Ovis aries: one gene and its partners. The protein of the gene in region 3 purifies or fractionates together with the protein of the main gene of each other region. This does not show direct contact. Links are inferred from orthologs where the notes say so. Each region holds a gene or a part of one and is shown on either strand. Other genes may lie near its edges.

The links.
Region 1: the proteins of EIF2B1 (region 3) and EIF2B5 purify together in Homo sapiens (affinity purification with mass spectrometry; 7 studies listed by BioGRID and IntAct, counting the BioPlex papers as one, with this or other methods). This does not show direct contact. The link is inferred for Ovis aries from reciprocal best matches to the Homo sapiens genes EIF2B1 and EIF2B5.
Region 2: the proteins of EIF2B1 (region 3) and EIF2B3 purify together in Homo sapiens (affinity purification with mass spectrometry; 7 studies listed by BioGRID and IntAct, counting the BioPlex papers as one, with this or other methods). This does not show direct contact. The link is inferred for Ovis aries from reciprocal best matches to the Homo sapiens genes EIF2B1 and EIF2B3.

What each region holds. Positions count from the first base shown.
Region 1 is NC_056054.1:203,785,613-203,795,730, reverse strand, and holds the end of EIF2B5 (translation initiation factor eIF-2B subunit epsilon), read left to right. Parts: coding exon 1-41; intron 42-576; coding exon 577-889; intron 890-1,798; coding exon 1,799-1,944; intron 1,945-2,154; coding exon 2,155-2,296; intron 2,297-2,418; coding exon 2,419-2,520; intron 2,521-2,837; coding exon 2,838-2,945; intron 2,946-3,081; coding exon 3,082-3,172; intron 3,173-3,470; coding exon 3,471-3,594; intron 3,595-4,267; coding exon 4,268-4,393; intron 4,394-4,809; coding exon 4,810-4,920; intron 4,921-5,086; coding exon 5,087-5,146; 3' UTR 5,147-5,509; downstream 5,510-10,118. UniProt on the Homo sapiens protein: Acts as a component of the translation initiation factor 2B (eIF2B) complex, which catalyzes the exchange of GDP for GTP on eukaryotic initiation factor 2 (eIF2) gamma subunit.
Region 2 is NC_056054.1:19,543,692-19,554,003, forward strand, and holds part of EIF2B3 (translation initiation factor eIF-2B subunit gamma), read right to left. Parts: intron 5,079-10,312; coding exon 4,951-5,078; intron 3,816-4,950; coding exon 3,625-3,815; intron 1,822-3,624; coding exon 1,744-1,821; intron 1,213-1,743; coding exon 1,064-1,212; intron 1-1,063. UniProt on the Homo sapiens protein: Acts as a component of the translation initiation factor 2B (eIF2B) complex, which catalyzes the exchange of GDP for GTP on the eukaryotic initiation factor 2 (eIF2) complex gamma subunit.
Region 3 is NC_056070.1:52,086,734-52,097,649, forward strand, and holds the start of EIF2B1 (translation initiation factor eIF-2B subunit alpha), read left to right. Parts: upstream 1-4,465; 5' UTR 4,466-4,593; coding exon 4,594-4,606; intron 4,607-5,462; coding exon 5,463-5,564; intron 5,565-7,156; coding exon 7,157-7,293; intron 7,294-7,406; coding exon 7,407-7,523; intron 7,524-9,496; coding exon 9,497-9,613; intron 9,614-10,265; coding exon of another isoform or gene 10,266-10,269; coding exon 10,270-10,334; intron 10,335-10,916. Other genes in the region: GTF2H3 (general transcription factor IIH subunit 3), read right to left, coding at 734-813, 4,316-4,328.

The DNA of each region.
Region 1 (10,118 bases), on a different chromosome or scaffold from region 3:
CACGAGATGACTTTGTGCGAGGCCTGTTAGTGAATGAGGAGGTAATAAAAGGCTCCCAGTGCCTCTTTAGAAGAGGGCTGTAATATTATCTCACGCTGATAACTTTTGGTTTCCCACCCCTACCCCTCCAACCCCGCCTTTTTCCCTCTCTTTCTTCATTTGCTTTTTTATTTTAACCAACTTCAGGGACAGTAGACCCTGCTGACACACAGAAGATTCATTTTTCATTTTTGTCAGATCCCCAATACCATCTGACCACCCGTGACATGTTAAAAAATCTCAAAATCAACAAATCGATTGCTAAAAACGTGACTATCCACCATTACACGTAATGTGAAATTTTGTTTTCCCTTGGGTAGGTGGGGAGACTTTTGGTCCCGTCTTATATTTTATTGAGCTGTAGGAGGAAGGAAAATAGCTGGAGGTGAGGGGGGAGCAGTACAGAAAAAAGTCTCAGGCCACTTGGCTATGACATTGAGAAGCAGTAGGGAATTTAAGGAAGTTAGAAGAGAATTATACTGGGGGATGTTCTTTCTCTCTTGCTTGCTTGGGTGACCTTTTTTTCTCCTCATTTAGATCTTAGGAAACCAGATCCACATGCATGTGACAACTAAGGAATATGGTGCCCGGGTCTCCAACCTACACATGTATGCTGCTGTCTGCGCAGATGTCATCCGCCGATGGGTCTACCCTCTCACCCCAGAGGCTAACTTCACTGACAGCACAACCCAGAGCTGCACTCACTCCCGACATAACATCTACCGAGGGCCTGAGGTCAGCCTGGGCCATGGCAGCATCCTGGAGGAAAACGTGCTCTTAGGTTCTGGCACTGTCATTGGCAGCAATTGCTCCATCACTAACAGTGTCATTGGCCCTGGCTGTCACATTGGTGAGTATAGGTAGGGAGGTCAAGCTGGCCATCCTAGGAGCAGGAACTTGGGGGAACCCCATGAGTTCAGAAAAGGATACAGAGGGATAGTCCCTGAGAATAAGGAACTAGAGTGGCTGCCTTAATAAAGGAAGGAACAGGGATGTAAAAACAGTGATACTTTAAATTTGTGGTCTGTGAGCCTATTATTGGGTGACTCTTCGCATTCCAGGGTACCCTGTATTCACATTCAGGACCAACTGGATAATTAACATGCAATAACACCTGTTCAGTACATAGCAGTTTACAAAGGGGTTCTGTGTACTTTATTTCATTTAATCCTCATAAAAACCTTGTGAGGTATTATTTATAGATAAGTTTTATAGATAATCAAAAAGGCTAAAAGTGGTTGTCCCTCCAAGGTCATGGCTCATAAGAGGCAATGCAGGTACTTGATTCTGATTATAAGTTTAGGGTTCTTTATACTCTTTAATAACTCACTTTGGTTATAAGAAAGTGATGCTTCTCATGAAACTGCCCCATTAAGAGAACAATAAGATTCTGACTTTAAAATGTACCAAAACAAAAGCGGTAGAATAATTTGGTTCTACTTTTAGACAGGAATGTGATTCTAATAAGTTTCTTGAAAGAGATCTCCAGAAATCTTAAAGGTTCTCAGGTTCTTAAGTTCAGTATATAGTCAAATTGCTGTAAAACTGGTGGAGGGTAGTCAGGCTGGGCAATGTTCTGGTCTCTGGCCTGAGCTTAGAGAGGAAGAGGGGATTTATGGTAATTTGGGGATGGAGTGGTAGAGCTGGATGGGAGCTCTGCTGGTGTCAGTCAGCCCCATTCTCCACAAATGGTCTGAAAAGTGGCCTGGTCTGGAATTGGAGCCATGGGTGACCAGGAGTCTTTCCTGTCCTGAGCCAGGTGATAATGTGGTGCTGGACCAGGCCTTCCTGTGGCAGGGGGTCCGAGTTGCTGCTGGAGCACAGATTCATCAGTCTCTGCTCTGTGACAATGCTGAGGTCAAGGAAAATGTTACACTGAAGCCTCACTGTGTCCTTACTTCCCAGGTAAGACCTGCTCCACATGGCACAGCTGAGTGGTGGTTATGCTGAGCCAGAAAGTGCCTTATGTCCACCAAATCCAGCCTCAATTGAAATTCCCAATCCAGTGTTTTCATTTGCTTTCTACTTGACTTAGTAAAGTCACTTTCCTTTGCAGGGAGTACTTTTCCCACACATTAATGGATTTATGCCACCCACTCCTTTTTTCTCCTCCAGGTGGTAGTAGGCCCAGATATCATGCTGCCTGAGGGCTCGGTGATCTCTTTGCACCCTCCAGATGCAGAGGATGATGATGATGATGGTCAGTTCAGTGATGATTCTGGGGCTGACCAAGAAAAGGAGAAAGTGAAGCTGAAAGGTGTGAAACTCAGCAGGTGTGGGGCATCTGTGTGTCTCTCTGCCCCATAGAAATACCAGTGTTTCCTCCTAAGGGGTTGGTGCTTCTCCTGGGCCCTTGCTAAAGATCAGTGTCTTTTCCAGGTTACAATCCAGCAGAAGTCGGAGTTGCAGGCCAGGGCTACCTCTGGAAAGCTGCAGACATGAACATGGAGGAAGAGGAGGAACTACGGCAGAATCTATGGGGTAAGCTAGGCCTCATTCCTGCCACCCACCATCTAAATCAGGTTATTTTGAGGGAGTTTGAACACTTCAGAATCATACTGGCAGTGGTTTAGTCCCTAAGTTATATCTGACTGTTATGGCCCAGTGGACTGTAGCCTGCCAGGCTTCTCTATCCATAGGATTCTGCAGGCAAAAATACTGGAGTGAGTTGCCATTTTCTTCAGCAGGGGATCAGAATCAGACTGCTTGTTCATTAATTTATTCATGCAGACAGAGCAGATATATTGCTGTCAGTGGCTCTTCCGTTTTCTTTTTTCTCACCCCTTCTGGATTCTCAGGACTCAGAATCAACATGGAAGAAGAGAGTGAAACTGAAAGTGAGCAAAGTATGGATTCTGAAGAGCTAGGCAGCCGGGCAGGCTCTCCACAGATGGATGACATCAAAGGTACGTGGCCAAGGGAGCAGTGTCTGGGACAGAGGAGGAGAACATCCAGTTTGGTTGGGCATAAAGTGAGGACTGGATGACTTAAAGCATCCTGGAGCAATATTGGCCCATGAACTTATTCTTGCTTTGATTTTAGTGTTTCAGAATGAAGTCCTGGGAACACTACAGCGGGGCAAGGAGGAGAACATTTCTTGTGACAATCTAGTCCTGGAGATAAATTCTCTCAAGTAAGAGCAGCCTCTCCCTATTCTCATTTTCTCAGGGTAATCCTAGGTGGTGGAGGTTCTCTCCTAATTCTTCCCCAAATAGGAACATGTTCCCTTGACATCGCGACTGGACAAGGCTGGTAGCATTTGAAACAGGGAGAACATTGTTCTAGCCTCAGCATAGACTTCTTCCTTCCAAAATCTTCCCTTTGCATGTTGCATCTGACTTCCTCTTCCCCAATTTCCTGCCAAAGTCATAGTCCTACAGTATGCTGAAAGGGCCAGTGAAGGCCCTGGTGTCACCCCAGTGTCCCCACAGGTATGCCTACAACATAAGCCTGAAGGAAGTGATGCAAGTATTGAGCCATGTGGTCCTGGAGTTCCCACTGCAACAAATGGATTCCCCGCTAGACCCAAACCGCTACTGTGCCCTGTTGATTCCCGTAAGCAAAGATTGAGGCTGGGTACAAGGGGTTGAGTGGAGACAGGTATACATTTTGGGGGCTTGACTTTAAAGGAAATCAGGGGTAGAAGGTCTTATGGGGTATGTGTTACTTGTGGTTCCTTTCTCCTTGCCTCTGGACACAGATTGGGTTCTAGAGCAGGTTTGGTTGTCCAGGGGAGTCAAGTTAGTTTCAGTAATGAGTGGCCTTTGAGATTCCAGTATTCAGATGGTACTAGACCCCAAAGGCATACCCAGAATGGACTGGATTGTCGTACTCCGACTGAAAATGATCTGACCCAGAATAAGGTGAACATTTAGACTGGGAACAGATATTTTGAAGCAGCCTGCAGCATCTGACCCTCTTCACCTTCCCTAGGAAATTTCTTTTTCTCCAGTCCTTCCAGCAGCTCCCAGGTGCCTATGACATAGTTCCACAAAGCCTGTATAATCTCGTCTTTTTTAATTTTTAATTTTGTGACTTGCGGGATCTCAGTTCCCTCATCAGGGATTGAGCCCAGGTCATAGCAGCAAAAATACCAAATCCTACCACTAGACCACCAGGCAACCACCTCTTGTCTTGAAAGACCTATGTTATCATTATTGATTCTCTTTACTGTCCAGGTCTAGGTACATGCTCAGGAATATATTGCAGCTTCTCCTCTTTCCTACAGTTGCTCAAGGCCTGGAGCCCTGTCTTTAGGAACTACATAAAGCGCGCCGCTGATCATTTGGAATCTTTGGCAGCCATTGAGGACTTCTTTTTGGAGCATGAAGCTCTTAGCACTTCCATGGCCAAGGTGAATACCACCCCAAGCCATATAGTCTTGCATTTACTTTGAAACAGGCTTTGGTGACCTCCATGGAGACACAGTATAGACTGACATGAATCCATGTGGAGTTTAGTTAATAGTGTCATCTACCTGTAGTGTTGTGCTCATTGCTGAGATAGTACAGCTTGGAGCCAAGCTAGTAAGGCAGCCATTTGGAGGTTGTCCTGGGAATGTGTGGAGCACTACAGTTACAGAAGTCAGACCTGTCCCAGTATCAGAGTGAACAGCTCACTCTTGTCTGTTTTGGAGGAGACTGCACAGTGTATAGGAGGCAGCTGAGGGCCTGGTAGGAAGGCACTAGATCATGCTGCCTCTTCCTCTGTTACCCATTGTATCTTGAACCCTGCAAGGCCCCTGAGACCGCCTCTGCTGGCCTTCTGTAGGTACTGATGGCTTTCTACCAACTGGAGATCCTGGCTGAGGAAACAATTCTGAGCTGGTTCAGCCAAAGGGAGGTAACTGACAAAGGCCAGCAGTTGCGCAAGAATCAGCAGGTGAGTCAGGTTGCCTTCCTCTGACTACAGTGGGTGTCTGGTTCCCTGGCTCCCGGCCCTATACTCCAGGTGGCTGGTCCCTGAGCCTCTGGTTGTTTATCCACTAAGGAGAACAGGAGGGTTATGTGCGTGCCCCTCAGTAGCTCTCCACTCTGCTTCCTTACAGCTGCAAAGGTTCATCCAGTGGCTAAAAGAGGCAGAAGAGGAGTCATCTGAAGATGACTGAAGTCACACTGCCTGCTTCTGTGGGTGTTGTTGATTAACCTCAAGGTTTCTGGGCCAGGACAAGTGAGAGACTAGTTCAAAAGGATGAGTGACCACCATCTGAACTGAGACTGGAGCAGAGGCTGGAACTACAGTATTCTTCCCACCATCAGCAACCATGTGCCTCCCATCCTGACTGGGGAGTGAGCGTGAAGGAAGTTGGGCTGGATAACAGCTCTGCCTAAGGAGGAGCTAAGCAGGCCCTGCGGTTAGAGGAAGACCAGAGGAACAGCTTTGTGCTTTGGTTCCCCTCAGGGAATAGCAGAGAGCAGTTGGCCCTCTCTGCGGCTTGTATTTGTTAATATTAAAAAAACAGAGAGGGGTATATTTGGTTTCTCTCCAACTCTGATTGATCAGCCATTGATGTAGGTGACCAAAGAGTTCTGAACCTTTGATGTAGTAGTAGCTTTTTCTTAACCACCTGGTGGAGAGGGAGAAGAGGGGTGTTGTGTCCACTAGATGGTACTGTGGTGCCATGGTACTAGTTGACCATTGCCATGGTCATGATAGTGGAGGGGCTAGATTCTTTTCCAGCCTTTGTGGACCAATTTGTGGTCCTGGAGTGGTGTGCCCAAACCAAGTTCCATAGAGAGTCCTAGTCCAGACACTTTTCTTCAGAGGGTGATGATACCAAGCATATGTAAAGTCCATTAACCACCTGCCAGTCCATCACATGCTTTGTCCAGTTGATCCACGTCCACTGTCAGGGAAACAGGGCTACTCTTCATCTTCAAAATAAGGGAATTTGTTCAAGGTCTCATGACTTTTGGGGGGTAAAGTTAAGGACTTGATCCTCATCCAGAATTCTTTTTCCTTCACCATTTTCAGTGTCTCAGTGAAGGGAAATTCCCCCCAGATGCAAATACAACCTCAGGCCAGCAATGGATATTCTTAAGAACAGAGGAAGAATCTGAGATGGGTTGTCCCCTCATATATGTTATTTTAGTTAATCTTCACATCAGCCGTATGAAGTAGCTCTTATCCCCGTTTTCCGATGAGAGGAGTCTAAAGTTCATAGAGGTCCCATAAGTAGTAAGTGATAGAGCAAGGATTTGTTATTAGACTCTAGAACTGGAGTTTGTCAGGTTCCAATATTGTCTGCTTTAACTTGGACTGTGAGAAATGCCCTTCTGTCTTATCTTGTTGAGTTCTTTGTTGCTTTCCTATAATCCTCACTCTGTTAACACTTAACTCTGGCAGATGTCTCTGGTAACAAGTGGCCCTCTTGGACATAGATAAAATGGTTGCCTCTCTTCATTTCAATTGGGTAGAAGGAGTAAGCTGAGGAAGGGCATACTGAACTGTGTTCAGGAGTGTGAAGGGGCATTACTCAGTATTTCTGAAGAGGGAGAAACAGGGTGGCTGGGATTTGGCTTAATTTGCTTTTCTTATTCAGTAAATCTCAGTTTCTGGGTTCGATCCCTGGGTCGGGAAGATCCCCTGGAGAAGGAAATGGCAACCCGCTCCAGTGTTCTTGCCTGGAGAATCCCATGGACAGAGGAGCCTGGTGGGCTACAGTCCACAGGGTTGCAAAGAGTCGGACATGACTGAGCGACTTCACTTCACTTCACTTCTTTGTCAAATACAGGACCTTGTGACTAGAAAGCATGTGAAGGTTATAGATGGACCTCATAGGGGCAGTTAAGTACAATTAACTGTAGAGTACCTCTAATTTATACCTAGTGGGTGGCAGAGATCAGAAGTGGCCTGTAGAACTTTTTAGAAGGAAGATATTCCTTCTAGTTTGGGTGCTTAGGGAGAAGGCTTACAGGATTGTGACACCTGAGTGGCTTTAAAAAAAAAAGTAGAAGAGAACATTATAAGCAAAGCAATGGGTTTCCACTTGAGTATGGCAGATTGAACACATGAGCTTTTTACTCCCTCCAAAACCCCTTTCAGTGTCAACAGAGGAATTTTTCAAAAAAGGCACATGACTCTATGACAAGGAAAACAAGGTGGCAGCAATGAATGAAAGACATCAACATTTTGGAAAAAAAGTAAATGGGAAGGTGAAGGTTGAGCTAGCAGAGCAGAATGAGATGGGCTCTACCTGCTGAGGTGATTGTTAACAAGAAGCAAATCAGTGTGCCCTTCTGAACCCAGAAGAGGCTCAGGAGAGGGGGTACGGATTGGGGCTGAGAACTGAGGTTGGGGGAGAGGGGAATCAGAGATGTGTATGAGAAAAAGCCCCCCCAGGTCCTTTATCTGATCCAGCCGAGTGACTACCCCTACTTCTCTGCAAGAGATAGGAGCTTTAGTCTCTGGAGAAATGGTGGGGAGGCAATTTTCAAAGAACTACTTATAAAGGTTTCCTAAACCCAAAGGTCATGAGTTTCTAGAACTGACGAGTCAATGAGTGCCCAGCACAATAAACAAAAATAGCACTGTGAAATCTCAGAACCTCAGGGAAAGTATAAACCTTTAGAACCACCGGATTTAATAGGAGACATGGTGGGGATGAGAGTGAGGGGCTAGATTGAAAATGAGGGATAAAGTGAAAGTATATGAGTGGCAGGGCTCTGAATGTCACCACAACTGACATAGCCCCTAAGGCCAAAACAATTGCAGACAAAAGGCCTACAAATATATTTTTGTTTCAAAAAATCCACTCATCACCCTACAGTGAAACTGGTTATTTAATAAGCCCTGTACATGGACAGAATTTACAATTAGCCTTTTAGTATTTCACTCTTAAATGTGAATAGACCATTAAGGCCCACCAGACGTGACTGAAGCGACTTAGCAGCAGCAGCAGCAGACATTTGAGGAAACTTGCAATATGAAAGGTAGAGATCACAACAAACAGAAAATTGAAACTAAGGAATTCACAAAGTAGCTTTCTGAAAACTTTAGGGAGGAAAATGCTATAATTCTCAAAGCTCAGAGAAGATAATGTATCTTTGAATAAATGCTATGAAAAGGAAAAGTTGGAGGACAAAAGAATTCTTAGAAATTAAAAAAATAGGTAAATGATTTTTTTCCTACTGGAAAACTGGAAGAGTACAAAACCAAATAGGAGGGAGATTATACTATGTCCATCCTTATATACTTACTGAGTTTTTAATTGTGAATATTTTACCTGTACGATTAGATAGGGGAAAGTTTGGAAATACTTTTAATCTTGCAAAAAGGTAAAATCATTTAAAAATAAAGTGGATGATGAAGAAAAAAGGATCAATCCAGAAGGTCCAACATGTAGCAGGAGTTGCAGAAACAACAGGAAAAAATGGTAGTAATGTTACTAAATAATTCAAGAAAGGATTGTTGAACTAGATGGGAAGTGCTCACCCAATGCCTAGCACAGTGAATAGCACCAAGGCATATCACCAAGAAATTTGAGAACCCCCAGGGATAAAGAGTACTTCCTAAAGACTTGCAAAGAGAGTTAAAAACAAGTCCTGTACAAATGCTTAAGAAAAATTAAGAGATCAGACTGATCACTTAATAGCAACACTGGAAGCTAGAAGACAATGGAGTGACTCAGAATTCTGAAGGAAAATTGTTAAGACTTGCTCTCATCTTTTCAAGTTTCTCCCCAGTTAATCTTTTTTTCAAAACTTTTTATTGAAATATAGATGGTTTACAATGTGTTAATTTCAGGTGTACAGCAAAGTCATTCAGTTTTATACATATTAATATATATATACTTTTTCAGATTCTTTTCCATAATAGTTCACCCCAAATTTTTATTTCTCATGCTTTCAAGGGAAACTACCAAAGGATGTGTTTTATTACTATTGAGGAGCAAATTATTGAGGAAACTGGAATCCAATACAGAGGAGAGGTAAAGAGAATTCAGAGAATAATGCAAAGAAGTCCAAGGATGAGAGCTGTTCACAGACTGAGACAGCCAGCAGTGCAGACCAGAGCAATGGAATGGAAGGGTCCAGAAAAGAAAGCCAATGGGTTATCTAGTACATTTAACTGAGTTAGTAAAATATGAATTGAGAAGCTATTAGATTATGTGGAAAGACTTAATGATAAGTACACTATATAAAAAAGCAAACGCAAGAGCAAGGCAATGATTAATGCCAGAAAGAAAAGTTGGAAACATAGTCAAAATGTCAATACTAAGTACCAAAATCCTAAGAAGTTAGGTGAGGTAGAGAAAAGGTAAATTCATCAAAATTGGAAATCAATAAACAATGTCTAGAATGCATAAATCAGGGCTTCCCTGGTGGTCCAAGGGTTAAGAATCCACCTGCCAATGCAGGGGACATGGATTCAGTCTCGGGCCCAGGAAGATCCCATATGCCTTGGAGCAACTAAGCCCAAGCGTCACAACTACTGAGCCCATGCGCCTCAACTAGAGAAAGCCTGTGCACAGCCATGAAGACAGCACAGCCATAAATAAATAAAATTTTTGAAAGACTTACAGAATGTATAAATCAAGAAGTAATATGAGCTTAAAAAATGTACACGGGTCAGGGTGAGGAGGGAAATGAAACAGGACTGCTGTTAAAGATTTTCTTGATATTTGTCTATGCATGCATATTAGTTTGATAAAAATTTAAAGGGAAGGTGTGAAATGAAAATATATTCAGTGCATGAGCAGGGGCTAACAAGTAGGTTGAACAGATTTAAGTCAAAACTTTATAGACAGGATACAATGAAAAAAAGGCTGTAGAGGTAGGTAGAGGTTAGATTATGCAGAGCTTTGAATATCATGCTATGGATATTTGAAAGTACTGCAAAATGTGGAGAGGTTTCTAAGCTGAAGAGGTATCTGAAAGGTCCTTAATCTTGAAATGCTTATTTGGCAACAATATACAAAATGGAGTGGGAGGAGCCCACACTTGTTACTGTGGCCTAAAAGGACCTATGTGGTCTGGTCCTAGCCTACCTGACACTCATCTACCACCATCATTGTAGTCACAACGACCTTCTTTTTGTTCTTCAAAATTGGCAAGTTTATTCTTGCCTTAGCCCTTATA
Region 2 (10,312 bases), on a different chromosome or scaffold from region 3:
TTTTAGCTGCAACTCCAGGGCAGTCCAGTGGTTAAGACTCTGCCTTCCAGTGCAGGGAATGAGGGTTTGATCCCTGGTCGGGAAACTAAGATCCCACATGTCATGGGGATGTGGTCAAGATTTGGGGCTTCCCTGGTAGCTCAGATGGTAAAGAATCTGCCTGCAATGCAGGAGACCAGAGTTCGATCCCTGGGTTGGGAAGATCCCCTGGAGAAGGAAATGGCAACCCACTCCAGTATTCTTGCCTGGAAAATCCCAAGGACAGAGAAGCCTAGCAGGGTATAACCCATGGGGTTGCAAAGAGTAGTTTTTAAAATTTGTTTTATAGATCAGTTTTCATGTTCCATAGGAAGGATAAGTGCCCCTCCCTGACTGTATTCCAAACAACAGTGCCTTTACCAGTTTTAAATAATGAGTTCCTGCTTAAGATTTATCTTAAGAAAAAGTTTCCTTTCTAAAAAGTCTGGAAACCATTGGTAATATCCTTCCTCTCTTCCACTACTAACTTTGCATTTTATACAAGGAAAAAAACCTGAGGTTCATACAGAGGAAGAATTTTATTAAGCATCATTTAAGTCTTACTCCAAGTTCAGGTTGTTCATAAACCAAGATTTTAGGGCATTCCAAAACATCTTAAAATGGGAAAAGATTCTTTATAACTAGTAACAGAGAAGCTTTCCTTTGAAAATGGAATGTATCTTATATGTCCACTCCTTGCAGGCCTCTGCTTTCTGTAGGACACTGAGAGGGGGCAGGTGACTCTTAGACATTGGTGCAGTGTCCACCCTGCCACAGGCTCACTACTGTGGTCATCCCATCAAGCAGGATACCAAAGCAAGAGAAGGCAGCTTATCTCAGGACTCCAATCATCATGAGAAAACTGCTAGAAATGCTTTCCAAGACTATGTCATTTTTGACATTGAAACCAAGGCCTAGGAATTATTCCTTCCTTTCCCTTTTCTTCCCCTCCCAAAGCTGATCACCTCCCTAGGCTAGGGTGGCCTCCAAAGCCTCCCAGAGACATCAGCGGCCTTGCCTCAAGTGGGTACAAGGGGAGACATACCCTTCCTCCACGGTAACTGAGTTCATGAGAAGACAATTGGTGACAGTCACTCTATCTCTTATGACACATGATGAACCAATGACCGAATGCTTAATGGATGACTTCTCTCCAACCTGTGTATCTGGCCCAATGAGGCTGTCAGCTCCAACCTGTAAAAGGCAAATAAAAATATAAAATATAATACCTTGTCCCCTCATCTCAACCAACTGCAAACCAACCATCCAGATTCCTTGAGCTGGGGTCTAGTGAGATCTTTTCCTAGAGACACTTCAGCAAGAGGGATCATCACCAGTATTTCTCAGGGCCACAAGGTCCCATAATATCTCTGAGACCAACTCAGACTTACACACTCATGCACTTGTGTATACCGAGGTGCTCTCCTGAAGGCAGTGCTCAAGTCAGGGTAAGAAGAGGGACGGAAATGGAAAGATCCTGTGTCTGAGTTCAAAGGCTGTAACGAACTTTTCTTATAGGGTTTGTGTGGCTGGGCTCAGCGCCTGTCTAGGCAGTCTGCTTGAAAGCCTGGACTGGAAGGTAAAATTTTATAACCAGAACCCAGTTTGGGACCTCCCTGGGGCCAGTGATGTTCAGGGCTTGACACCCCAAACCAGCTTCTCAAAGACAAGCCTCAGTGTATCCTGATAGTGCCCCATACCTGCTCTGCCCGAGCCAGCACTTACCATGTGTTTACTGACAATCTGGGCTGATGAGTGAATCAGTGATTCTTCTGGACAGATAACAGGTAGCAATTTGGACACCTTGAGGAAAGAGGTTTGGTCACTAAAGTAAGACCAGAAAACAACTGAAAACATGTTAAGTAGAACCTCGTGTTCAGTTAAGAGATGTGGGGAATTTTTAGCCACTGCCTCCTGTCTGGATGAGGCAGGCTGAGGTATTTCCCCCAAGACAAGGATCATTTATGCAACAGCTTCTATACAGTCTCATCCTCAGTTTCCTAGTTGAGAGCCTCCTCCCTGAAGTACTGCTGTGTCCCTCAACCGGGAGGCTGTGAGACAAGCCTTAGAGACAGTCAGGCAGCATTTGGGAGAGGAGGTCTGACGAGAGCAAGGGGAACCCTGAGGCCTAACCACAGTCACCTTAGGTTCCTGTTCACCTCCTGGACCACAGTGACCATGCAGGAGGGGAGGATGGGAGTAATCTTAGATAACTCCACAATCAGGACACACCCTAAGGAGGCATCCATGTTCTTTACCAACCAAAATAAAATGTCTAAGGGGACATTCACACTATTCTGTTTCCAGTATGAGAAAACTGAAAATGTTATGGGTGTGGAGTGCTTTAGCTCTGGACCCATTAAGGCAGAGATAGTATATCTGTGATTCTCAGTGTGGAGAGAATGCTGGTCAGAGCACTGTGTGTGGCAGACACTCTAACTGAGGGAGGCCTGGCCAGACTGGCTATATTGGTGATATGAAGGCTAATCCCTCTGTCCCTATGCCTGGGATCTCCTCTGTTATACTTCAGCCAATGCCATTCAGGCCTGTCTGACGCACAGCCCCCGCTGACACGCCAGAGGATACTTCTCTGGCCTTAGGCTATCCATCAACTTGCTTTCAGACTAGCCAGACAGACTCTAGTCATAGAACTGAATAAGGAGAACTAAAAGTCAAATTAAGGAAGCCTTTTATATACCTCTAATGCTACACAGGGGCAACTTTCTCCAGGACTGCCCTGGGTAAACATGGGACTAGCTTGGACTTCTTATAAACCCTGTGGCTTGGATTCCATTGACTATAACCAATCCGGTTTAAGGCTAGCTTGAGGTCTGGGTCTGAGACTGTTACTACTACATGGTGTGGGTCCTAAAGATTCTTGAGTCAGATTTTCTTCAGGGATTCAATTCCAATTCCAGTTTTCCCCTCCTCCTGTCCCTGGCACACAATAAAGAGCTCTTGCACACAAGCTGCCTCCTCATTGTTCCCCCTCTTCACCCTTGCCTTAAATAAAACCTGGCGGGCCTTAAGGGCACTGCTTCCCCTTCAGTAGAAGCTACTAATTCTCCACACTTCACAAACCTCAGGGTTAAAAGGATGGGTTAGCAAGACTCTGCATGCTCTAATGCCGTTCTCCAGATTTCTCTCACATAGGCATTCCTCCCTTGATGCTTTGTCATCTGGGTACTCTATACTCTGCTCCTTCACCTTCTAAGGAAAGCCTCCCCTGTGTGCCTGGTTACCTCCCCTGTGTGCCTGGTTACACAGTATTTATCTGCTTGTTTATGAAGTGCTATGGATATCCCCATGCTGAGCAGAATAGGAGAAATCTGTTGAACCCAGAGGCCAGAAGTGAAGCCTTCCCGAGATCTCGGCCTTTCTTTGGAGCCACAGCAGCTCTGCCTCTGCACGATGCCCCTCACTTCCCCTTTTGCTGTACTTGGGTACCCCTATGGTGTCTCCTGACACACCAGGTCTTGCTCAACCTTAGGAATGTGGGATTCTGTACAAGTTACTGTGCACCTAATGAAGAAATAAGACAAAAGGCTCCGATCTGTTCCTGGGAGATGAATCCCCATGATTTCTCTTCTGAACTCATCCTCTCACCTGTCTGTTGGCTTCCATGTAGAGTCCTAGGGTGCTTACTCGAGAGCAGAGCCCCTCTTTCATGATGTGGACATAGCAGCGCACCTGTGATCTGGACAAACCTTCCCAGCTGTCTCCTAGACAGGCGTTCCAGCAGGCATCATAGGGAGCAAGGGTCAGTGTATTGGCTTCTTTTATAAAACTGTAAATATCTTCAGAACCAAAAACAAGCAAGTACATGAGACAGGTAACAGAAAGGATATAGACTCAGTCAAGTTTTGAAGGAGGGTACAGCTCAAATCTCTTCCCCTGCAACTCAACCATGCAGCATGGACCCTGGGGAAATCCCACTAAAACCTGAAAGACTAAGTCAAAGAGCAAAAGAAGCAATGTGCTTTCATGTACATTTGAAATATTATGACACAAAAATGTTTTTAAAAAAGGTCCTGTAAGCAAGTTTGACTGATGATCAAGCACTACTGGGAAGATAAAATAGACTCTGTACACCATGGAGAAACACAAGTGACTGTCCAGGCTTTAGTGTCTAGCCCTATTGGCTTTGTGCTGCTAGCCTCTATTAGCACATCTGGTAGTTGTGCTGTGAGAGAAACAGCACAGGACCTGGGCCCCAGTTTTTCAACTCCTATAACAGTCATTTGAAATCTTTTATGATTAAGAAAATGGGGGCTCAAAAGACTGAAAAATCTGCCTTAGGTCACAGAATTAATAAAAGGTAGAGTCAGATTTCAAACGCAGGTCTGAGATGCTAAGCCCTGATATCTTAACCATCATGCTATACTGTCTCCATTTATTCCTTTGATAAATACATTTTTGGGAACATCTACTATGAGTCCAGGACTGGGCCAGGGACTAGGCAAGGATATGAGAGCAAAGACTGACCTCATCCCTACACCCTTGAAAGGAGAAAGTCTGTTGGCTCTGGTTGGACTGTCATTATACAGCCCTTCACCTTTCCTCCCTTGATAGGAGAGGCTGAGTTTAGTCAGGAGTGGGGCTTCCCAGAGTCAGAGAACAGGAGAACTGAGAAACGGTGGGCAGAGTGCAAAGCCAAAAAGGTCTAGACACGAACATGGCCAAACCAGGCCTGTTAACCAGAGAACAGGCCTGAGGTATGGTTAGCCTGTCCCGGAAGAGCACAGGGACGAGAATCGGCTTGAATAAGCCTGCCCAGAGCTCAGGGAGTGGTGTAAGCTAACCTGGCCTGCCTGTTGGCTAGATGAGAACCTGATGCCTTGAGACAAGCATCTTGGGCTGGGCTAAATTGTCCAGCCACTCTTTCCACAAGTGTCACTACCTGTACCGTACTGCACCAACTCAAGCACTGACCTAAGGATTTCAGCTCCTTTTTCTTTAGATCTTCTTCTTTTTCTTCTTGTCCTTGTTGTGGTGAAGCTGAGGAGAACTGCTTTCTTACTAGGTATGGAATCAGTTCACTCCGGATGGAAGTGATTGACCTAGGGAGAAAGAGTAGCCAAATATCAGAAATCTGATGGTCTGGATTCAATTAGAATAAAAAACTGTGCATCCAAGGAAAAGCCAAATTCCTTCCTGTCATGCCACCTTGGGACCGACAGAGATCAGAAATGGCAAGGGCTTGGCAGTTCTGGAGAAGCAGAGGATCTAAGTTTTCTCAGTTCAGGCTGGAGCTGGACGAGCAGTGTGTTGAATCTGAGATGCCCGTCCCCTGATCTATGCAGAGAACAGTCTCTTACAATTCCTATTTACAAAGTATGTGCCTGAAAGTTTGTATGTGTGTACATATGTCAACATGGTGTCTTGACTATTAACTGACAATAACTCATGAGAAAGCAGAATGCTCTGGCCTTTTGAAAAAAAAGTTGTTTCAAAATATTAAAATTTTTCTACAAAGGCTTTGTATTTTCCATTAGATTAATCAGAGTATCTTAATTTTGGAGGGATTAGTATTATAGATGGTGTCTTTTCAACAATTATTTTCTTCTTATTTGTTAACAGAATCTCATTTTACTATATTTCAACCTTGGGGCCAATTGCCTTGATAAACAATCTTAATATTAATAATTTATTTGTAGATTCTGACAATCATACCAACTATGTAAACAACAATTTTTCTTCTTCCTTGCTAGTTCGTATTTTTCATTATCTTACCATATTGGCTAAGACTTTCAATACACTAATGCTGAACAGAAGCACTAACAGCAGTTCATCCTTACTTATTCTTGATTTTAAAGGGAATTTTTCTTTTTTATCATTTAGACTAATGATTGTTATAATTTTTATCGCCAAAGCCACTATTTGATTGTCCTCTATGTGTAGACATTGGGCTTTGTACTTTATAGCTAATACTTGGCACATGTTATTGGTTTTGTAGATACCCTTTATCCAGTTAAGGAAGATCTCTCTTATTCCTAACTTTGCTAAAAGCTTTCATCAATGAATGGGTATTGAATTTTCTCTTTTTGCATCCATGGAGCTTATCATATTTTCTCCTCTTTTGCTCTGTTATAGTAATGGATTAAAAATTTATCTGATACTAGGACTATTGATGCTTTCGAACTGTGGTGTTGGAGAAGGCTCTTGAGAGTCCCTTGGACTGCAAGGAGATCTAAACCGTCCATTCTAAAGGAGATCAGTCCTGAGTGTTCATTGGAAGGACTGATGCTAAAGCTGAAACTCCAATACTTTGGCCACCTCATGTGAAGAGTTGACTCATTGGAAAAGACCTTGATGCTGGGAGGGATTGGGGGCAGGAGGAGAAGGGGATGACAGAAGATAAGATGGCTGGATGGCATCACTGACTTGATGGACATGAGTTTGAGTAAACCTTGGGAGTTGGTGATAGACAGGGAGGCCTGGTGTGCTGTGATTTATGGGGTCACAAAGAGTCAGAGACAACTGAGTGACTGAACTGAACTGAACCAAGGACTTCCCTGGTGGTCCAGGGGTTAAGAATCCACCTGTCAATACAGGGGACACAAGTTCGATCCCTGGTCCAGGAGGATTCCACATGCCACAGAGCAACTAAGCCTGTGCACCACAACTACTGAGCCCACATGCCACAAGTACTGAAGCCCGCATGCTCTAGGACCTGTGCTCCACAACAAGAGAAGCTACTGCAATGAGAAGCCCATGCACTGCAACTAGACAATAGCCCCTACTTGCCACAACTACAGAAAGCCTGTGTGCAGCAACAAAGACCCAGTACAGCGAATAAATAAATATTAAAAATTTTTTGTGATACTAACAAGTTGAATAACACTATTCAAAAACCATTTATACAATTTCTACTCTATACTCTCTTACAGTAGTAGAATTATGGGTGATTTTTCTATTCTTTATGCAAATTATCAAATTTTATCATTTAAACCATTCTTTATGTTTCTTGTCTTTTGTTTTCTCCTAGATTCTACTCTTACAGATTCTACTACTCTCTTGGTTTGATTCCGGACTCTAGAAATTTAAAATCCATTTTAATGACTAATCCATCCTAATCCATTCAGTATTTCCCACATAGATTTCAGCCTCCATTCTACTGAAGAGTGGGCTCTCTCATATTAATAACAGTTGTACTCATTTACCAAGGCTACCAAAGAATTTTCACAACAAAATCAACTTCAATTTACTTTCATGAAATCAGATCAGTCTAGGACAGCACTTACAGAAAGAAAATCAGACCAAAGATCAATACGCAGAAAAACTTTCAGAAGGCAAGAAATTTCCTATACTATTTTGTATCACTCAGATACAAGCAGTAAGCTACCCTGGCTAAGAGGTTTGGAACTCTTCCATTTGGCCCCTCTGGGTCCCAGGAGGCATGGTGCTTCCCCATGGGTGCTGAACCAGGATGTTTGGTTTAAATGACTAGGAATCTGTAATGGGGAAGAAGGACCTGATCCTTAGTACAGTGAGTATGCTTCTAATTTATACTTAGCAAAGGAACTGCAAGACTACCATATGATTTTTAATTTTCTTTCTCACACTGTGGACCTTTTAGAATTTTAAATCACTGATTAATTACCTTAGAATTTAACAAGACTAGTAATATGCTGTGACTTTGCTAGACCTTGGAAATACACTGTTTCTGACTTCAAAAAATTCATAATCTAGTGGACAGTAACCTGAGTATGGATTTAAGGAAAAGAGTAGAAGGAGATGAAGCTGCTTAAGGAGGCAATGGAGCCAGATCATGAAGGCCTTCTGTGGCAGTCTAGAAAGTTTGGACTGAGACAAGCCAGAGGTAGTTTTTAAGCAGGAAAGTGACATGATGAGTTTTATTTCTTAATGCGGTGATTCTGGTAGCAGTGAAAATAGGCTTGGAATAGGAGAATGAAAAGAGACCAGTTTCAAGACTCTGAAAGATGAGATAACATGGCCTGAGAGAGGGGTTAATGTATGAGAGCCCAATTAATCTAACTGATGCTTCATACTTCCTATCCCCTCTCCCAGCCCCCATTCAAAGAAGTTCTGCAGGCTGACACAGGACCACATAGATGGAGTGTAGGTAGGAAGGCAAGACAGAGGTGGAGGCTGAGGAGGGTAAGCAAAATTACAAACCCTGGAGCTACACAGTTCATGGTTTTTGTCATTTTTAAAGGATCAAGCCAAATACCTTTGAAAAATTCTGTGTAAGCTGGAAGCTCTTGTATTGAATCTCAATGTGATTTTTCTTCTGATCTTTTGATGAAGATTAAAAATTTCCATATGAATACGAAGAATGAAACAACACTTATTCTTAGCTTTTTTCTCCCCTTTTAATACTCCAAGCCAGTGTGGGTAGCAAATGTTCCTTGGCCCCACTCGGGTGGAAAACAAGTCAGTTCCCTTTGAAGAAATGACAAAGCATGGACAGCTGGGGGATTTCAGAGCCATGATGTTTACATTATAGGTCAAACAGAACTGTCCCTGCAAGAGGCAAGCAAACAAGCCTTGGCACATAGCCTCTTTAGACAGAACCCTTTAAGGAGATCAGATAAGGATGTGAGGAGGGGACCTGAAGCATTCCTGCCAGGTCCCACCTGCCTCTGCAGACGCTCAGCAATCAGGTTGATTCTCATAATGCAGTTGGCTTAGCATCATGATGGAGGACAAAATTATACTTCCTGCTTCCTAGTCAAACTAAAAGTAGCTCAAAGCTATACCAAGAAGTGGGAAATGCCACCATGAACCATTCATTGTGAACATCCATTGGGGCTGAAGGCTGGCAGCTGGATCCACTGCCCTGGCCCTTGGCAACCTCACTTTCTCCTTTTCCTTTTCTTTTTTTTTTTTTAAATTTCATATTTATTTATTTGGGTGCACTGGGCCTTAGTTGTGGCATGTGGGATCTAGTTTCCTGAACAGGGATAGAACCCTGGGCCCCTGCATTGAGAGCACAGGGTCTTTAGCCACTGGACTACCAGTGAAATCCCCTCTCCCTTCCCTCTTAGATAGTTTTCCCAGAAACACCTGCCTCATGTCATAAGCTCCTAAGAAATAAAAAATCACAGAGGAGAACAAAAGATTTGACTACTAGCTGCAAACAAGCAACTCCACAAAATAAGCCAAAATTATTTTTACAAATAGAACAAAATATTAATATTCTTCATAGATAGATTAAAATGTTTAAAATTATATAAAAATATTATTTTCTAAAAATTGGCAATATATAACAAAGGTTTTGAAGATATTCATATTATTTTATTTTATAATTCTATTTCTATATATCTGTGCTCAATAAATATATGCTGAAAAATAAAATAATCAGATAATAATACATCTTTGAACAAAAAGATATTATTTAATGTTATTTATAAAAATAACATTATTTATAAAATAGTAAGTTATTAGTTATTAAAAATAACTCAATGTTATTTATAAAAATAGAGAACCACCAAATAGTCAACAATAGAAAAGCAATAAAACACATATGTAATAGAAGAGCATATAGGCAAAACTCAGTAAACAATTTTTTAATGACACAGGAAAATGCTTGTGAAAAAATACTGAACAAAGAAAGCAGAAGGCAGTTATTTATACAGCACAATCTCAAGTGTGTATATGTATATATAAAAATAAATAAAATGATGGAAAGAAATACATTAAAATGTTCAAGGGACCTCAATCCCTGGTCAGGGAACTAAGATCTCTCATGCCACAGGACTTGGCCAAAAAAAAAAAAAGTTACCAACTATCTCAAAGTAGTAGAATTATGAAAGTGTTAAGTTGCTCAGTTGTGTCCGACTCTTTGTGACCCCATGAACTGTAGCCCGCCAGTCTCCTCTGTCCATGGGATTTTCCAGGCAAGAATACTGGAGTGGGTCCAGGCAATCTTCCCAACCTAGGGATTGAACCTGGGTCTCCTGCACTGCAGGTGGATTCTTTACCACCTGAGCTACCAGGGAAGCATGAGTAGAGTTATACGTAGCATTTTTTTTTTTTTCCTTCCTTGCTGCAGGGCAGGCAGGATCTCAGCTCCTGGACCAGGGATTGAACCCATGCCCTTGCAGTGGAAGCATAGAATCTTAACCACTGGACTGCCCGGTAAGTCCCCAATAGGTAGAATTTTTAAAATATTTTCTGAATCTTCCAAATTTCACTGTCATAGGCCATTCATTCCTCACTTCCTGTGGTATCACTTTCTTGATCTGTTTCTATTTTTGATAACTCTTTGTTTCCTCTAAAATATTTGGTGTTTCTCAGGATTTTCCTTTTTGCCTGTATTTTTCTCATG
Region 3 (10,916 bases):
TCTGAATAAGGTCTGGAGATTGTACTGATGTCAATGTCCTGGTTTTGCTCTTTGTACTGCAGTTACAGAAGATGTTAGTACTGGGGGAAGCTGGAGCCAGAGCACACAGACCTCTCTGTACCAGTCTTAATTTCCTGTGATTCCATAACTATTTCAAAATACAAAGTATTAAAAAAAAAAAGACTATATATTATATGGAATCAATATATGAAATGTCCAGAAAAAGCAACAGAGAGACGGAAACCAGATGAGTGGTTGCCTACAACTCGGGGGAGGGCTTCCCAGGTGGCTCAGTGGTAAAGACACACCTGCCAATGCAGGAGATGCAGGTTCAATCCCTGGGTCATGAAGCTCCTCTGAAGAAAGAAATGGCAACCCACTCCAGCATTTTTGCCTGAGAAATCCCACAGACAGAGGAGCCTGGTGGGCTACAGTCCATGGGGTCGCAAAGAGTTGGGCATGACTTAGTGACTAAACAATAACAGCTAGGGCGTAGAAGCAGTGACCGACTGCAAACAAGCACGAGGGAACCTTCTGGAAATAGAAGTTTTATAAAATGGAATTGTAGTAGTGGTGATTATACAACTTTACTGGGATTTTTACTAAAAAACACTGAATTATACATTATAATGGGTGAATTTTATGGTATGAAATTATAGCTTAATAAAAAAGCAATATACACATATACTCAGTCAAATCAGAACTATCCAAAAGCCTTCCCAAGCAGCCTTACCTGAGACTCCTTTAATGCTTGCTTTCCCCACCAAATAGGGTTGGTATCAACTATGATAACTAGAAGATTCAATTCATCTTCTGCAAATATTAACAAAACAAAATTAGCCTCATAAAAGTGAAACAAAGCTAACATTTCCAATTTGTAAATTAAATCCAAAGCAAGCACCACTACATGCCTTTCTATGTATATAAGCTACCATCATAAAAGGAACACAAGATCAAGGTTTTTTTTAGACTTAAAGCTCTGGAGGCCCTTAGAGAGCTCTTGCTTGCCTTCTGCACATTGACACCTCTCATGCACTGCAATAGCCACCTCCAGCCTTTTTGGCACCAGGGACGGGTTTCATGGAAGACAATTTTTTCCACAGGTTGTGTGTGTCAGGGGGGTGATGGTTCATTCCAGGATGACTCAAGAGCACTACATCTACTGTTCACTTTATTTCTATTATTGTTACATTAGCTACACCTCAGATCATCAGGCATTAGGTCCCAGAGGTTGGGGACCCCTGCAGTAGACTATGAACACTGTGCAGTGGGACTTTTGTCTCTTCTGTCACTGTTTGTTCTCTGCTCTGAACACAATGCCTAGCATGGGGTGGATGCTCAATAAACATTTTATGACCCCAAAGATACATGCATCACAGATGTCTGGTCAAGGACAGAGGGCACTGATGGACCAGCACTAAGAACCACTAGCAGAATTTCAGGCATGGGGTAGGGCTGAGTGGAGAGAGATTTAAAGGGAGACGCAGAATCAGTCTGGCTCCAGGTACATCAAATCACCTTCCATCAAGGCCAATTACAATTAGTAACCAATCTTTAAAAGGTAAAAACCAGAGTGAAAAGCAATGGCTGTGTAAAGACTTTATTGTGGAAAAAAGTAAGCTACTCTCTACAAAGTGAAAGACACAACAAAACAGGCTAACACATTAATTAATTCAACAAACACTTACACTGAGTTACCAGTGTTAGGTGTTGGGGATACTGGATGCAAGCCCTCAGGGAGACTATATTCTGAGGTGACAGACATATGAACCAGTAAGCATACACTGTTATAAAAAACCCAGGATGCTCATTTAATAGCAGAAAGCAGCAATGCCTTGCTTACATACCCATATCCTATTTACTCTCCAAGGTCCCAAAACTTGCTACCTCCTTATTCAACAACAAGTCCTGGCTCCCCCATCTCAGAAGAGAGGAAATGTCAGCCTTTCTGTGTCAGACCTCGAACATGTAATCCTATCTTCCTGTCCCATTGCTGACAGCTCAGAAAGGGACTTAATGCTATCTTTCGCTTGTTGTTGTTGAGTCCAACTAAGTCGTGTCCGACTCTTGTGTGACCCCCATGGACTGTAAGCTGCCAGGCTCCTCTGTCCATGGGATACTCCAGGCAAGAACACTGGAATGGGTAGCCATTCCCTTCTACAGGGAATCTTCCTGACCCAGAGATTGAACCCATGTCTCCTGCATTGGCAGGTGGGTTCTTTACCAATGAGACACCAGGGAAGCTATCTTTCACCAATTATAAGATGTACTCCCTCCTTTTTTTTTTTTAACATTTGACAGTTGCTGAACTCAGGAAGGTACCTACCATTATGACTGATCACATTTTTTCTCTTAGTGATATATTAAATAAAGTAAAAGCATATTTCATAATCATATTGTCTTAGATCAGATGAAATATCGTATTCCTATTTTGCAAGAGAAAGTAACTTGCTCTAAGTCACATGGCCTGCTAACAAGTAACAAAGCTAACACCCAGCTCTGCAAGACAGACCTGCTTGACTCTAAAGATCGTGGCTAAAAATGACACAGATGAACCTACTTGCAGGGCAAGAACAGACACAGACATAGAGAAGGCACATGTGGACACAGTTGGGGGGGGACGAATTGGGAGATTAGGACTGACATATATGCACTACCATGTGTAAAACACATAGCTAGTGGGAAGCTGCTGTTTAGCACAGGGAGCTCAGCGCAGTGCTCTGTGATGACCTAGATGGGGGCTGGGGCTGGGAGGGAGGGAGATCCACGAAGGAGGAGGTATCTGTATACAGATAGCTGATTCACTCTATGCTGTTGTACAGCAGAAACTAACCCAACATTGCAAAGCAATTATACTCCAACAAAAAAACTGAAATAAACACTGTGGCTTTTCAATGCCCTATTGCCTCCTTCTGACACCCACAGTGCTGTCTCTCTTCTGATGACAGTACACACGACCTCATTTTACACTTAGCTGTGCTTCTGATCTCTCTTCCCCACTCAGCCCTCTTAATCGTGGACTTCTTAGAGAATCAGGAATGTTGTGTAAATCACAGAACAAAGTGTTTAGCACAGAACAGTCAGTTAATAACTGTCTCTCCCACAGGCCCTCAGTCCTCTGCCCAAAAGCCTTTGGCCTTATATCTCCATCAGGTTCCACTCCCCAATTCTCAGAACCATACAGTCCTTGCTACTATCAAGCCTGAGAAAAACAAAGTGTCACCTGTCAGGAGAGATGTGGATCCATACACATGGAATGTCCCTGTGGATTTCTTTCTTTGGGTCTCTACCTCCTCGTTTGTAGACAGGGGCCATACCAGATCTGCCTCCTTCATAGAGTTGTGATATTAAAACAGATAAATGATGCATGGACAATTGTTACTGCCCCTGAAAGGACCTATTTCTATTCTTGCTCTCCACAGTCCATTTCCCACACAGCAGTCAAAGTAATCTTTTAAGACAGTAAATCAGGGAATTCCCTGGCAGCCCAGTGGTTAGGATTCAATGCTTCCATTGCAAGAGGCCATGGGTTGGATCCCTGGTCAGGGAACTAAGATCTCGCAAAAAAAAAAAAAAAAAAAAAAATCGTAAATCAGTAATACTTTCTTGCTAGGAGCCCTAAAACGGCTTGTATTACACTTAAAATAGAGATCTGGTCCCAGAAGGGACCTGCACCTGGCTAGCTAGCTTTCTGATCTCATCCCTCTATTCCGCCCTGCTCCCACCACGCTGGCCTCTTTTTCCTCCCTTTAAGACATCAAGCTTCGTAACTGGTAGTTTAATGTATAAACGAAAGTCTCCACCCTCCTCAACCCGCAGGTGTCCCCTTTCCGTCTTCCCATTGCAATGTATTGATCAATTTGTCACAAGGCCTTCACAGAGCCTTTATAAAGTCACTCAAGTCTTAGTCTGAATATCACTAGTCTTCTCTGGACCCATACGAAAAGCAGCTCCTCCTGTTTCATCCCTGAATCACAATCGACACCATCATCACTTTATACTGTCGTCACAGCTCTTGTCACCCTTCTAAATTATTTTTTACTTACTTGCCTACTGTCTGTCTCGCTCACTAGACTGTACCCTCCGCTAGTCTGTCATGTTCTCTATGTATCTCCCAGGGCATGAAATAACGCCTGGCACACAAGAGGCGCTCCCAAAATATTTACTGAATGAATGAACGAATGAATACATTTGCTACTCCTTTAAAGAACAAACAGGCTCCACCCAGCCCCCAAAATACAGTCCATTTGGTAGGTCATCGCCGGGCAAAGTCTCCTTAGTCCCGGGATCCGGCTCCCGCCGGCGCGGCCCTCACCGTCTGAGACCATGGCGACCAGAGTCCCTCGGCGAACAGCCACTTGCAAGCAAGCAGACCTACAGAAGTGTACAAACCGCGACTTCCGGCGCCGCCGAGTGACGTAAGAGACGCCGCGCGCCTTACCCACAGCCCCGCCCCCAAAGCGCCGGAAGTGGAGTGTAGAGCGTGGCTGCGCGCTGTCAGTCAGTGTGGTGTGGAGTCCGCGCGGCGGCGGGACCAGTCCAGGCGTCTCGTGCGGCTCTGGGCCTCTCAGGCTCCGCGGTCCAGAGTGCACCATGGACAACAAGGGTAAATTGGGACGCGTCGGGCCTGCTGGGCCTAGAACGGAGCCTCGCAGGGATCCCTCCACCTCACACGCCCAGACTGGGCTCCGTCAGTTTTCAAGCTCAGGCGGTTTGGTCGGATGTGGTCCCTCTAGTCACAACTAAAACCCTCTCGCTGCTCGTGTATCCAGGGAATGGGTCTTGGGTGTATCCCCAGACATCCCTTCTGCCCACGCTTTCCAGTGCCTTCCAAAAAACGTGAGATTTCGGACGAATGTGCAGGTCTTCGAAGTCTTGATTTCTTCATATGTGAATTATGAGTAAGACTCCCTGAACCTGCCCTGTTGAATCTGGTACCAGAATCAAAAGAAAGGCGTATTTGATGTGCCTGTCTAGAGTGGTTATCAAGCTGTTTTATTAAGAACAAGGGCAAACTAATATGTATATAGTACCTTTCATGTAAAAAAGCAGAGTAGACTTCTACATCACATTCATATATATGTAGGTGAATAGGCTTGACTTGGCATAGACTGTCTGGAGGGGTGCAGGAGAAATCAGTAAGCAGGTTGGCTCTGGGATTTTTTGCAGACTTGGGGTCAAGAATAAGGGTGAGAATGACCTTTCACTATCATTTGGTGGAGCTTAAATTTTATTCCATATTACATGGGCTAGATTTTTCAAAATGAGAAAGAGCTTGCAAATAGTAAAGTGATGTCATCTCTATTCCCATCAACATTTTCTGTGTCCCTGAAGCCAAACACCCTGCAAAGGAACTATTTTTTAAATTAGTTTGCTTTTTAAAGTGAGCAGTCATTGATAAGCTCTGTGATTGTCTCTCCTGCTAAATGAATTCGCTGAATCACTTTTTTCTCCCTTCCCAGAGTTAATCGAATACTTTAAGTCTCAGATAAAAGAAGATCCTGACATGGCCTCAGCAGTAGCTGCCATCCGGACTTTACTGGAGTACTTGAGAAGAGATACAGGTAAAGGGGGTCTGCCTCCATTGTTCCAGGTGTTAGGAAAGTCTGCTTGTAACTGTTAAAATTGTAGAAAGTGAGAGATGGATGTGTGCTGATATAAGGTAATACAGCCTCAAGCTCAGTTTCTCCCTTCATTTCAGTCCTTTCAACTTGGAGAGAGCCCTCAAATGGGTCTCTTTTTTTTAATTTTTTTTTATGTGAACCATTTTTTTTAAGGTCTTTATTTGTTATCATGTTGCTTCTGTTTTATGTGTTGGTTTTTTGGCTGTGTAGCATACAGGATCTTAGCTCCCCAACCAGGGCGCTGTTTGATAACCAGCACCCCCTGCACTGGAAGGCGAAGTCTTTAACCACTGGACTGCCAGGGAAGCCTCTGAAGCGTACTTTGAATCAAGAAGGACCATATTATGCCAGGTTAACTGTGAAGCTTAAATTATAGCAATCGTTCAGCTTTACAAGTGTTTATTAACCTTCTGTCTTGTGACAGATTCTTTGCAGTTGCTATAGAGAATGTTCTAGTATAAATTCTAGCTTTAATATCATCATTGTGAGCACTGCGAATTCAGTCATCCCAAATGTAAACATCTGGGTATAAACAAAATAATAATAAAAATAATAAATTATTCTTTAATTTAAAGGGCTGACCTAGAGATGCATGTCTCTAAGACAACCTCCAGCATCTTCCCATTATTCTTATACTAATATCCAAACATCTAAGCCTTACCTGCACCACCCTGCAGACCTCTTCTGTCACTACTTAATTTCCTTCCATGCTGTCCCTCGCTGAACTGTGCTTCACTCTGGCCTTTCTCATACCAATTTTATTCCCATCTTGGGCCTTTGTGTTGGTATAGTCTGCATCTGAGGCTTTGCCCACTGCATCTTTACTCAGCTGGATACTTTCTTACTCAGGTCTCTGTTTAAAAGGCCCGCATTCCAAGAGATCATCCCCTGTTAACTCTTGTCTGAAGTAGTTCCACCTTTTGCATCATTCTGCTTTTTTCTGTCCTCAGTTCAATCTGAATAACTTGTTTATTTCTTTGTGTGCTTGTTTACTGTCTACCTCTCCCAGTAGAAGGAGAGTCCTGGAAATTCCCTGGCAGTCCATTGATCAGGACTCTGCACTTCACTGCCAAGGGGATCAGGGGAACTAAGATCCTGCAAGCCAGGCAGCACAACCAAGAAGAAAAAGAGAAAAGGAAAGGAAAGGCAGTTTCATCAGAACAGGGGCTGGTCATGTTCACCGATGTTATCTCTGGCATCTAGGAAGTGTGTGTGCTCAGTTGCTTCAGTCGTGTCCAACTCTTTGTGACCCCATGGACCATAGCCCGCCAGGCTCCTCTGTCCATGGAATTTCCCAGGCAAGAGTACTCGAGTGAGTTGCCATTTCCTTTTGCAGGGGATCTTCCTGACCCAGGGATCAAACCCACATCTGCATTGTAGGCGGATTCTTTATCTGCTGAGCCATCAGAGAGCCTGGCTACAGCCTACACCCAGTCCACTGGCTGAATGAATGAATGAGTGAATGAATCAAAGACCCATCAAGGGGCTGTGATACTGAAATGAACATCATGTTGCTCATGTGATCATTCCAGGAGAGACAATCCAGGGCCTGAGGGCGAATCTCACCAGTGCCATAGAAACCTTGTGTGGCGTGGACTCTTCCGTGGCCGTGTCGTCGGGCGGGGAGCTCTTCCTGCGTTTCATCAGCCTTACCTCCCTGGAATACTCTGTAAGCCCTGCCCTCCCCAGGTCACAACTCTGCTTCTGTGTTTAGCCACAAGTAGTCTCAGCTTGACCTAGATCCTCCCCTTCCCCTCATGTTGCTCTTTTTTTTTTCCCTAGGATTACTCCAAATGTAAAAAGATCATGATTGAGCGGGGAGAGATTTTCCTCAGGAGAATATCACTGTCAAGAAGTAAAATTGCAGATCTGTGCCATACTTTCATCAAAGATGGGGCGGTGAGTACGTCATGATCGTGGGTGGTGATCGGGAGCAAGGACTTTGGCATCAGACTCCTGGGGTAAAATCCCGCCTCTGCCACTTACTTGCTGTGTGATCTTGGACAAGTTACTTAAGCTCTCTGTGCTGTACTTTACTCATCTTTTCAAATAAGGATAAGTATAGTACTTAACTCATAGGGCTGCTGTAAGGATTAGTATAGGATTACTGCTATATCATAGGCAGTTGTCATTTTAAAGAGGCAGAGGAAAACCCTGGGACAGCATGGATGATTCTCAATTTGATAAGCTGTCTTACTAAAGAAGTGTTTTTTTCTTATGGATATGTACTAAACTGATCTGAATTAAATCAGCACAGCTCTTGTCACTGGTTCATCCTGACTTTCTTCCTGCCGAAGGTTAGCACTGGATTGAGATTTCTTCATCGTCATTCCAAATGCTGTCACAGAGATGCAAAGCTGCCAGGTGTTGATAACCTAAGTGAGGAAAGACAGGAGCACCACATTAAGTCAGTCTCCCAGCAAAGGGGTCATGAAACTTTTATGACGTCTCTTCCACCAGCACATATCCTTTCTGCCAACTAAGCCTCCACCGATTGTAAAAGTATTTACTTGCATCTGGACTCTGAAATCTTGTCCTCTGTTTTATTACTCCCTTCCCGGCCTCTGAATTATGTTATTAAATAAATGATGTAATAGATGCCACTGGCACTGGTACAAAAGCCAGCTTCAAACAAAGCCATTCTGAGACCAGGTGGAGGCAAGCTGGTGACTGCTTCTCGCCGAGGCCTCCTCCTTCCCAGCAGTTGGACTACAGGGTTCATTCATCCTCGTGGAGTTTAATGTGTGGTAACCACCTGCATCAGTGCTATTTAGGGTAAATTATGAGCAGAGTGGCTTAAATTCAAGCATGCAGGTGAACCACCTGGAGATCTTCTAAAGTGCATATTCTGGGACTTCTCTGGCAGTCCAGGGGTGAAAACTTTGCACTTCCAATGCAGGGGGCATGCTTTCAATCCCTGGTCAGGGAACTAGGATGCCCCTGTGCCATGCAGCACAGCCAAAATTTTTTTTTAATATAAATTTGTAAATATAAATTAAAATGCACATTCTAGTTCAGTGAGACGAGTGGGGCCTGAGAACGTGCATTTCTAACAAGCTCTCAGGCAAGACCCAGAAAGGAGCCAGGAAGCTGGTCCCTCCATCTTGCTTTACTCTGTCCTCTGCACTCTGTTCCTTAGAACATCTTGATTCCATCTAAGTATCTGCAAATTGTATCCAGTCCATAGTTGGGTTGTGTTTATCCCCAAATTGTATAAAAGTTTTAAAAAATGAGTCAACACTGAAATACTGGATTTTAGCTCCTCTAGAAAAATCAGAGGATCCAGCAACAGTGGGCCCCATGTGACAACAGCCGGAGGTCAGCCTTCGTACTCTGCTGCTGGCCCCACCAGCCTCTGCATCTCTTTATGCCAGCTGCCTGGTGCTTGAAGGCCCAAGTGTGCAGGCTAGGTCTTAGAATTAGGGAAACCAACCCAAAGGAACCTAACAGCCTTCAGACAGAAAGGCTTTTGTATCTGAGTACCACCACATGGAGATGCCACTTCTGTACTTGCTATGAAAAGATGAGACCCATGATATATTCCTCTGGCAGAAAACTTTTTTAGATTGTATCAATAGGGACTTCCTGACCATCCAGTGGTTAAGACTCCAAGCTTCCTTGCAAGGGGCAAGGGTTTGATCCCTGGTTGGGGGACTATGATCTCACATGCAGCATGGTGTGGCAGAAACAAAAAGTATCAATATATGGGCTTAAATTCAGTGTATTGTCAAGGATCTGCTTTCTGATTACAATTGATTTGTGTGAAAGTATACAGAGCAGCTTTAGGGTACCAGGAACACACATTGGAGTGGCAGAGAGTCTGAGTGATTGTTGGAAGTTTACACTTATGACGGAGCTTTCTCTACCCACAGAGAATATTAACGCACGCCTACTCCAGAGTGGTCCTGAGAGTCTTGGAAGCTGCCGTGGCAGCCAAGAAGCGTTTCAGTGTGTACATTACAGAGTCACAGCCTGACTTATCAGGGCAAGTATCTTTCTATGTGGTCATGTGCCCAGCAGTCCCTTTAATGAGCAAACTGAGGATGAGACTCCATTGTAAAAGGAGCCAGATGAAGTCCCCGATTTGTCTGTCAATCAGCATTGCCTTTCACACTGCCCATCCCTGCTCCTGGAAGAAAAATCACCATGAATTTGGAGTAGGTCACAGTACAGCATCTAGGGGTTTTATTTAGTACTTAAATCAGATATAAACTGAAAGGTTTATATCAAGGAATAGGTAGTTACATTTCTTATGTATCCAGAACATAATAAAACCCCTTTTTTTCTGAATTTACATATCCCTGCACAGCCCCAAGAGCACAGTTTTCCTAAAATACATACTTTTAAAGAACCCAAATGCTTCCTTAGTCCAGAATCTTGAGATCAGCCCCTTAGTCCATTAACTGAGGGGACTTCCCTGGCGGTCCAGTAGTTAAGACTCCATGCTTCCAATGCAGGGAGTGTGGGCTTAAGACTTCAAATATGGTCCACATTAAAAAAAAAAATTAACTGAGTTTCTAGTTAATGTGATTTATCATTGTCCAAATTAAGTGACTATGATAGGGACTTTCTTGGACCACCAGTCTCTATGATAGGGACTTTCTTGGACTTTTTCTAACATTCTCAAAATGTTACTTTCAGTAAGAAGATGGCCAAAGCCCTCTGCCACCTCAACGTCCCTGTCACTGTGGTCCTTGATGCTGCAGTTGGGTAAGCGCCCGGCTCCCCTATCACGGTTACGTTTCCTCACCCACCCACTCCCAGGGTTGGCTTGGAGCAGGGTTTCCAGATGGAGGGTCCCAGTCTCATTCATAAAACGAGAGTGGGCAGCGTCCTGCCTCCTAATTGACCGTGGCACTAAACCAGCAAGTGTTCATGATAAGAACCGGATGTGTACACACAAGACAGGGCTGTAGGATGCTGGGGAGAGCTGGATACATGGTGTCATGGTGCATTTTTAAAAAATACTTATTTGTGTCAGGTCTTAGTTATGGCATCCAGGATCTTTAATTGCAGCATGTGGGATCTAGTTCCCTGACCAGCGATGGAACCCAGACCCCCTGCATTGGGAATGCAGAATCTTAGCCACAGGACCACCAGGGAAGCCCCTCATGGTGCATTTTAAGAGCAAGGTGCAGTGACTGGATCAGCATTTGTAATCAGTGCTCTCTCTTCATCTAAAGACATGGGTTGTCGTTGGTGGCACTCCAGAATTTTTCATCTCCTGTGTACAACTTCACTCCTAAAGCTGAGGTGACACGCTCCATGGATTGGCAGCATGGCTCATAAGAG